Linked DNA regions of Nothobranchius furzeri. Each later gene encodes a partner of the first gene's protein in a complex. Links are inferred from orthologs where the notes say so. Each region holds a gene or a part of one and is shown in the gene's direction. Other genes may lie near its edges.

The links. The genes of interacting proteins can lie anywhere in the genome.
Region 2: the proteins of dgcr8 (region 1) and drosha are in contact, whole or in part, in a crystal structure (PDB 5B16), measured with the Homo sapiens proteins. The link is inferred for Nothobranchius furzeri from reciprocal best matches to the Homo sapiens genes DGCR8 and DROSHA. Residues at the interface, in NP_073557.3 of Homo sapiens: Asn728, Ile731, Leu732, Lys734, Leu735, Gln736, Glu738, Met739, Lys740, Leu742, Ala743, Arg746, Arg750; in NP_001369437.1 of Homo sapiens: Leu984, Leu987, Phe988, Thr998, Tyr999, Thr1001, Ala1002, Ile1003, Gln1005, His1008, Phe1069, Asp1073, Leu1074, Glu1076, Val1077, Trp1078, Asn1080, Pro1082.
Region 3: the proteins of dgcr8 (region 1) and enhancer of rudimentary homolog are in contact, whole or in part, in a crystal structure (PDB 7CNC), measured with the Homo sapiens proteins. The link is inferred for Nothobranchius furzeri from reciprocal best matches to the Homo sapiens genes DGCR8 and ERH. Residues at the interface, in NP_073557.3 of Homo sapiens: Lys107, Phe108, Ser109, Pro110, Asp111, Leu112, Leu114, Leu115; in NP_004441.1 of Homo sapiens: Val8, Pro10, Thr11, Thr18, Tyr19, Ala20, Glu27, Lys34, Met35, His39, Arg42, Met43, Phe60, Leu64.

What each region holds. Positions count from the first base shown.
Region 1 is NC_091757.1:31,769,441-31,772,458, forward strand, and holds the end of dgcr8 (microprocessor complex subunit DGCR8), read left to right. Parts: coding exon 1-124; intron 125-195; coding exon 196-309; intron 310-1,771; coding exon 1,772-1,855; 3' UTR 1,856-2,396; downstream 2,397-3,018.
Region 2 is NC_091747.1:62,198,199-62,201,855, reverse strand, and holds part of drosha (ribonuclease 3), read left to right. Parts: intron 1-846; coding exon 847-927; intron 928-1,272; coding exon 1,273-1,359; intron 1,360-1,443; coding exon 1,444-1,530; intron 1,531-3,492; coding exon 3,493-3,564; intron 3,565-3,657. UniProt on the Homo sapiens protein: Ribonuclease III double-stranded (ds) RNA-specific endoribonuclease that is involved in the initial step of microRNA (miRNA) biogenesis.
Region 3 is NC_091758.1:16,832,177-16,834,753, forward strand, and holds the end of enhancer of rudimentary homolog, read left to right. Parts: intron 1-1,636; coding exon 1,637-1,757; intron 1,758-1,831; coding exon 1,832-1,934; 3' UTR 1,935-2,026; downstream 2,027-2,577. UniProt on the Homo sapiens protein: May have a role in the cell cycle.

The sequences.
Region 1 (3,018 bases):
GAACAAAAGGGTTGGCAAACAGCTAGCCTCTCAAAAGATCTTGCAGATGCTGCACCCTCATGTTAAGAACTGGGGCTCATTGCTACGAATGTACGGCAGAGAAAGCAACAAGATGGTCAAGAAGGTGAGGGTCCTCCTGAGCTGGAAGGTAGAAATTTACCAGAAATGAATTAAATGAACTTGTGCTTTCCTCAGGAGAGCTCCGACAAGAGTGTGATTGAGCTTCAGCAGTATGCCAAAAAGAACAAGCCAAACCTTCACATCTTGAACAAACTGCAAGAGGAGATGCAAAAGCTGGCAGCTCAGAGGGTAAGAACAGAGCCAGACACACGTTAGCGTTAGCTCGTTTTAGTTCCTACTCCTGATTCAGCAGGAGTTCTGCAGCGGCCCGTTTTAAAACCAGGTGTGTTGAAGCAGAGAAACTACAACAGGGATGCCCAGTCCTGGTGTTGGAGGGCTGGTATCCAGCATGTTTTTGTTGTTTCACTTCAACACATTTAATTCAGTGGTTGATTCACCTGTTCAACATGTTATCTAGCTCTACAGAAGCCTGTTAATCACCTAATTGATACTGAGCGTGTTGAAGCAGTGAAAGAACTAAAACGTGTTGGATATTACTCCTCCCTGATATAAAATTTTTACTTTTCCCAATTTTATACTTTTTAAATTTTGTTTGTTCAGTTATTGTTCTTGTGAAGCACCTCGTGGTTTTTAAAATATCTCTTCCTCCTTATGATGGATGGATGGGGGCTTTCAGGGACCAGGGCTGGACACTATTGTTTTAGGACATGTCCATTATGGACACCGCCCAAACCTCTCCCTGCAGTTCCAGCCCTGACGCTTCTGGCCTCCCGGTTGGTCCAGACCGGCGCTCCTGCCGGCATCTGATGAGCTCAGCTGGGCAACATTACCGTTGATTAGTTGCCCGGGAGACAAAAGGCAGTGATCTCAACCAGTCGAGGAGGCAAACCAGGATGACAACACTTGGTTTTTGCTCCGCGGTAGTTGGAGACCTCAGTGGTTGGTGGTAATTTAAAAACAGAGTTTAGAGTTACGAATGTTTTGTGAGTAATGTTAACTGGGTTAACTGGGAACGATCATTAGAAGATCTTTGACGTTGCCCTTTTGAATCTGTTAAACGCCCGCCCGGTTTTGGGAGAGTAAATTTAGTTGTGAAGATGGTCCTTTGAATTTAATCTTTGTGTTCTCGTTTGTCCCTCTGAGGATTTGAGTTACTTTGGTAGATAACTGGACTGTTTTCATTTAGATTAAATTTTGCATAAAAAGGATAATTCCTTATTTAATTGTAGCTTGTTTTGAGAAGGTGAAATCCCTGCATTTCATTTCATTCCAATCCGTTAAATAACTTGTTCCTTTCGTTAGAATATAGGCGTTTTTGTTTCGGTAACGTCCTCCCTGTGTTTTTCCGTTTTTGGCCCTTTAAAAAAAAAAACATTTATAGATTTTCCACCTGTCAAGTTTTGTTACCCCCTCCTCTCCACACGATGCACCAGTGCCGGGGTTGTAACATCAGTAACTAAAGGTTAAATTATGTTTAAATGATTGAGTCTGGGAGTGCGGACTGCCCATTCCTGAGGCTGATTTCTGTTTTTCAAGTGAGAACCCCAGTCTGGAGGAGTGGAGTCCAGTTGTTTTGTGTGATTTTACAGAAACGATTCCTGGTGCAAACCTTCTGTAGTTGTTTTCCATGAAGTCCGGTCTTTCTAAACGCATTGCTCATGAACTTTGTACTTGACTGTTTTCACATCAGGAGGAGACGAGAAAGAAACCCAAGATGACCATAATGGAGTCTGCCCAGCCGGGGAGTGAGCCTCTCTGCACTGTTGATGTTTAATTCTCATAAATCACTGATGAACCACCGCACTGAAAGCCGGTCACTGTCAAAGGTCACCCCCACGACGAAAGTATGCATCTCTGAGACAAAAGGACGGTGTAGTCCCACGTTTGACCAGCTGGCTTCCCTCACACACACACCCTCTCGTGACTGAGCAGATTGTTATAATGGTAGGACTAAATGCACTTACAGACCCCCGACTAAATACCTCTCTAGTTGCAGCTTTCTACGGCACTGAAACTTTATTGATTAAAATATGAACCACATCAGATTACAGCATGCATACGTGTTTAATCCATAAAAACCTCTGTGCTCATTGGTTTCTCGGTCAGTGTTTTCTAGTCACAATCTCATGGTTTCAGTGCTTGAAGTGTTTGAAAGGGACTACTAATATTTGTACTTTTACCATTCAAATGATTGGAAATCAAACTTTCTGGTTTATTTAGTGTTTTAATCGTAGTTTCTGGATATTTTGGGTGAGGAATGCAATTGTTCCGTTTTATCAATGAGAAGTTGTCGTCTTGCTTTGCATGACAAGAACATGCGTTGTGAAGTGATCACTGTTCAGAACTATTGGTGTGTGTGCGTGTGTGTGTGTGATGTTCTTGTTGTTGGTCTGACTGCTTCTGAGACTTGGGTGGACGCTTTGTTTTGCTTTGGTTCTTCACCCCATCCTGGCTCTGCTGTAAACCCAGTCCAGAGCCCGAGTCCTTTACTCCTACCCTACTGCCATGCACCGGTTGCTTTAGACATTTCATTTCTGATGCCCTTCTTTTAAAAAGGTAAATGAAGTTGGCTACATGTTGCCTTAGTTGATCCATTTCATGAAGGGCTCAAGTGCTAAATGTTACATCGGACCTAGAATAACCTTCAGCAGGAAGTGGGAGACCAAGGCCCATTCACATGATGAAGCATTTAACAGTCAGGTAAATATATTTAAGGCCTGTTCAGTGTCACGAGTAGAGTAGTAAGCAGCATGTGCAGAATTTTACGAGTCGTCTATGGATCGTGGTTTCTTGTGTTTGCCATCATTCTTGCTGTATAACCACAGGAGAACATTTCAAAAGGCAGCCTTGTAAAAGCTGAAGAAACTGTGTATACCAAAGCTTACATGCAGTCTTATGCATTGTGTAGACTCCTTAGTGTTGCTGTAGTTGAACAGA
Region 2 (3,657 bases), on another chromosome or scaffold:
CCTCCCCCGCTGTTCTGCTCAGAGAAACAGACCTAAACTAGTCGTGGAAACCGTTTTAGGCACAACACCTTCAGCATTAACAGTCGACCTCAAATAATATTCATGTTTTCATCGTTTGCAACAGCAGAAATAGTGCAGTAATGGTGCTGAGATGTAGCATCGACCCTTTTGTCACAATAATATTTAGTTTTATGAAACAGGGAGGTTAAAAGGTGCTTGGTTTAACTTTAGCAACAGTGTGAAGAACAAACTTCACCTCTGAACTCTTCGCACCTACTTCAACAACCGCTGCTTTTGTGATGAAGTGGTGAAAAGTTCAGAATGGGTGCTTGAAATCCTTGATGAGGCTTGAATTTAGTCTCTGCGAAGGCGTGAGAGCCTAATGTTTGTCCTCGAAGCTCTGATGGGATGTTTGCCTCCCCTGAAGCCTGCTGGGCTCACAGACGTGAGGTCAGACGATAAGCCCGACCCTAGGACCTAGTTTTATGGAGGACCATCCCTTCAAAGGGTTCTGTCGCTCTCAGTGGAGAGTTTCCGAGTTTTGGGCTGAATTTATCGTCTGGATTTATTTAATTTAGGAGCCAAATTAGGTTTGTCACGTTAAATTCAGAATATTTAAAGCCTGAGTGGATAAAAGGTGGTTTTCTCCTATAAACTTGGGTTGTTTGAGGTTCCTAACAAAGGCAGAACCTGCCAGGGAAACTTCAAACTCCCAACTTCAAAGTGCAGAAGAGACGTAAAGGTCGCCGTGCTGCAGTCCAGACATGTGAAGCGTTCCTCGGCCTTTGTGTTACACCTGGCAGGTGAAGCGGCGCTGTCCGATTCACGCATTTTCTTTCTGTCCAGATGAATGATGGCCCCCTGTGTAAGTGCAGCGCCAAGGCCAGACGCACCGGGATCCGCCACAGCATCTACCCAGGAGAGGAGGTGGGACACGGCGTGAATAAATCACCTCCGTTCATAACCTTCAGGCTGAGCCGCGGCGGGCCAAGGACGCCCCACACACACACACACACACACACACACACACACACACCCCGTTAACTCACCGTCATGAGCTAAACGGTGTTATATCTTAATAAATAGACTCGTGTCCTTATGACTGAGAACATTTTTATGAACGACTTTGAGGTTTTATGTCCAGTAAACAAACATTCATGATTTAATCCACTCATCCATTCACAATCCTCAGAAACATTCATGTTTTCCTCTTTAGTTGGTTTTACTGGGTCCAGTAACTGATGAGGGATCTTTCTGGTGTTTTGTCCCCAGCCCGTGAGGCAGTGCCGTCCGATGAACAACAACGCTGGGAAACTGTTCCACTACAGAATCACCGTGTCTCCTCCCACCAACTTCCTGGTAGGACGCCGTTCTCAACCGAAACGAGTGGTTTGGCTGTTTTTCTGTGTTTGTGACGCGAGTCTTTCTGTAATTGACTTCCAGACGGACCGGCCGACGGTGATCGAGTACGACGACCACGAGTACCTGTTTGAAGGCTTCTCTCTCTTCTCTCACACGCCCCTCACTAGCGTGAGTCTGAAAGTTGGAACGCCGTTCCCTCCAGAACTTGCACGAGGGTCTTAAAGCTCTCATTCATGCTTATTTCCTGTAGATTAGTCTGGTTTATAGAATGAATGAGTGAATGCCTTGTGAGCTATTTTCTGCTTCCTCCGCTCTTCCTTTTTTTTTCTCTCCACAAACAAGCGTCAACATGTTTGCCACTGTGTGAGGTTGCTAATGCTAATGGCTAGCTTTCACTAACCGAGACGCGCTCTGCTCTCTCCTTCCTGTGGGCGGTCCCAAGCCGAGGTGGGCGTGGTCATGAATGCAAATTACCGCTGTGACGTGGAGGAATCGTGCCTCGTTTTCCCGTCTGTTTCCTTTCTGCGTTCTTTTAGTCTGAACGATGGCAGCATCTTCCTACGCGTCTGGTTTGTTTTCTGTCCTATTTACTTCGGCTACGGAGGTTTCACAGTCAGCGCCATTGTTTTTTACTGGTACAGACCTGGAAATGTGCACGTGACTTTAAATCTGAAAGTCACCAGATGTTCCCACTGCTTTAGTGTTTGACTTCCTGTCTGGCCCGGTCTAACCTGCTGAGCGTGGCGTGTAAAAAAATAGACTCGAGTCGTGAATTTAGCAGAAGTGACGCGTCCCTACGCTTCTGGAACGTTAAACAAATGCGCTGCTTGCACTCTTCTGCTACTACGGCGGCTGGTTGCTGCGTACCTCACTTCACGGATGTGGGAAGGCCCGGCCAGAGTGGCCGATCACATATCTAAATGAACAAGGATTACACGGTTTCTATGGAAACCAGACCTTCAAACACTCCTCAGTGTAGTTTTGACTTTGTTCAGAAACAGCTGACTATAGTAGCTGTGATTTATGGGATTTCCATCGTTAGGATTTTATGTTTTTGGTCCTTTTTTAGCCGCTCCAACGGTCCGAAGGTTCGTCACAGTGGGCGTGACCTGCCGACCGCCTTCGATGTAAAGTATGCTTCGTCTTCTCTTGTTTTAGCATAATAATGTCTTGCTTGGTGTGAATCAGCCTGACAGATGCTCTGATCCACCATCAGCCTTGTTATCTCGGCCCAAGTGTCCACCAGCTGCTCAGGCAGGTTCTCACCCACCATCACAGGCGGGCGTCCTCCTCCACGCCTCAGCCTGCTAATGTTCGTCCTTCCTGCTGGAGTTTAAGTGAAAACCTCCTTTTTCCTAAAACACAACTTCAAATCATCCCTCGGCTTCGGGTCGACTCCTTTGTAGTTTGGACAAAGTGCTTCCCTCTCACAGGGCTGGCCTCGGTGTCCGTCAGCCATTGAAGAGGTTGCGATTTAACAGGAAGCCAGACGAAAACCCGACGGGGGTTTGCCAGGTTGGAGAAAACGTTCCCAACCTGCGGTGATTCGTGCTCCAGTCCGTTTAAATAATGTGATCAATATCTGCGCTGCAGCCCGGCGGATCAGGCCTGATTTACACCAGATAATTTCCACGGTGCTTTTTACAAGCCGGGGCAATCGTTTGGCGACAGAACGGGGATTAGAAACCTGAGAGCATGGCCATATTAGCTCCCTGCTAGTTAGCCGCTGAGATGGGCAGGAAGGAGCGTTGCTCCAGGTTAATCTCTCCGAATGAACCCCTGTGCTCCGACAACAAAGACCGTGTAACCGGGGAGATTAAACACAGACGAGCCGGCTTATCCTTTTAGCCAGATTTGAGTTGCTTAATTTCCAGGGCGCTCGTGTGTGTGTGTGTGCGTGTGTGTGGGGAGGCGCGCGCTCCATGGGAGGGTGGGTTTGTGGTATTATCAGAGGTTTTACATGTTTTTACACAATTTAGCATATAGTTTCCATACATGCACGTGGTTTCTGCAGAGAAAATGAGGTTTTAATGAGTTTCCTTGAGAAGCTGTAACCTCTGCCTGTCGCTGTGGTAATGAGACGCTCTGTCCTTTTCTTCTCCTCGTCCTCTGCTCCTTTCATCATCACAGATTCCATTGTGCCGAGTGATCCGCTTCAACATAGATTACACCATTCACTTCATAGAGGAGATGGCGCCGGAGGTCAGTCCAACAGCACTTTATCTCCCCGCTCTTTCTCACCCTCGTTGTTTTTATCTCAAACGGCTGAGTCTGAGCACAGCTGAGCTCGTGTAG
Region 3 (2,577 bases), on another chromosome or scaffold:
CTTAAAAGTGTTTAAACAGTTGTTGCATTTCAACACACAAAAAATAAATGGAAAAAATAAGATAAATCTAATGAAAAGTGTACATCTTTGACATTAAGCTTAAAAAAATCTGTTGACAATGATGATACTGTTCATTTTTCAGAGCTTTTTAATGTGAAAATATACATTGCAATAGATAAGTTTACAATAAAGTTAAATGATAAAAGTTTTGAAGTTACACTTCTACTACTACTAGTTAATAATAATTATGATGATAATAGTAATAATAATGAAAAAATAATTATAATAATACGAACAAATTGTGTCTGAGGAGTCAGTTATGTGGAGGAGATGAGTTTGTAAAAGTTAGTTTTGAGTATGTGTGTGAAGGAGGAGGTGAGTCTGAGCTTAATGCAGGTCTGTCACATGTTCCAACTTACGTTTTGACTTTGAAAGAAGTCTCTTATATCCACTTTTCGTTTTCTTGACATGCTGCCTCCTGGCTGTGCCTAACTACCAAAGACTCACAAATGAACACTTATTCAAATGTTATGTAATGGAAGCTGAGCTGAGCTCTGATATTACACAGCGTCTAGTTGACGATGTGACTCAGTACCGGTGTTCCCTAGCGGCTCCAAACTAGCAAAACAACGTGAGCACGTTCTGACTGTTTACAACTTGAGTGACAGCAGCAACAGCCAATAATACGTTAGCAAGTATCAGCAGAGCCAATAGATTAGCTTTTGGGCGGGTCTAATAGGAAACCGGTTTCCGTTTCGGTCCTAGTGCTCAACCAAATCCATTTAATGGAGCGTAACATTGTTTTTGGACGGAAAAAAGTGCAGGGGACCAAAACTGCCTTTTGAAAAAGTGGGGGGGACATGTCCCACCCGTCCCCCCCCAAAATTACGTCCCAGACTCTACCACTACGCCACTGAGCTGGTTCAGAAGATCTGTGTTTAGTTCTCCAAAGCATCTTTCATAAAACAATGGAGCCACCACAGTACTTTCAAAAGACACATTGTGGCGGCGTTATTACCTTGACTTGCCACCATGATGAAATAGGCTCTTGGTGTTTGGATAAACCTACCAGTGTAGCTAGAAGTTCTGATGCTGTTTTGAATTCAATGGGTGGTCTCACCAACTATTGATTTGATTTAGGTTCATCTTTTGTTCATTCACTGTTTTTTTGATAGATTAAAACTACTGATTAACACTTCCATTTTTGAAATTGTCCTCTGTTCACAGCATTTTTCCACACCTGCTTAAAACCTTTACACAGTAATGTACAGCAACACATGACTCTATGTACCTACAGATCCACTTTCAGGGTTCTTGTCCCAGGATACCTGGACGTGTTGCTAGCTGGGGCCGGTGATCAAACCGCTCTCCTTCCCATCAGTGGCCAAATGCTCTTTCCTTTTGAGCCACTGCTAAAATCTGTTCATGATAAAAGTCCAAGCTGGTAAACTGTTCAAACAGGCTCTTTCCAGTTCAAAAGGGTTTAAAAGAACCAAAGTCCAGAAACTCATCAGAAGTAATTCAGACAGGTTACACAAACAGGTGAAAACTGGAAAGCGATACACTCACTGAAGACCAACAAACCTTTAGTTTTTTTGACTTCCATTAGTAGTTGTGTTTTGTGTCTCCTGTACAGGTGTGTGTAAGATGTATGAGGAGCATTTAAAGAGAATGAACCCCAACAGTCCGTCGATAACGTACGACATCAGCCAGCTGTTTGACTTCATCGATGACCTGGCTGACCTCAGCTGTTTGGTGTGAGTTTGATTAAAACAAAGTGTTATTCAGCCTTTATGAAGAGCTGTAATAAGCACCCACGTTGGTTCCTCAGGTATCGCGCCGACACGCAGACGTACCAGCCGTACAACAAGGACTGGATCAAAGAGAAGATCTATGTGCTGCTGCGTCGTCAGGCTCAGCAGGCGGGGAAGTGAAGCTGGTGATTGGGAGTGGTAGTTAAAGTAGTGCTTTTTAAATGGGGGGGGGGGGGTTGTATTTTATATGTTTGACTTATTAATAAAGATTCACATTAACAGTCATTTTCAATTAGTTGGTTTGTTGTTTTCTAGTTTATTTGCTTTTCAATCTTTTTTTTTGCATTTCCACTCTCTTCAAAAAATCTTAAAATTTCTTGAATAATGTTTTTATGGAATCTGCTTTCCCTGCCCTTTCCTCTGAAACTAGCACAAGAGGAGTTTTACCACTGATGCTGCTGGTTTATACTCTCAGGAAAGGACAAAATTAAAAAAAATTTCCTTTAAAGAGATGATTAAGACTTCTTGTTTCCGTTTTTTTAACAAGGTTATTTTTTACAACATATTTAATTAGAACGAACCACATAAAACAACCTCACCACCCACCTGGCTACACTGGATGAACCTTTAAAACAGAAAACAAACAAAACAGGTGACAAAGTGACACTAAATCTAAATGCTATTACAATCTCATGAAAGAAATAAAAGAAACAATAAAATTTGTTCAATGTGTCCCATAAAGTGTTCCTGATTTTCTCCAGGTGGATATGGAACATCATCTCTGCGACCCAGTGGCTGGAGAGTGAGAGTCCTTCCATTTGGA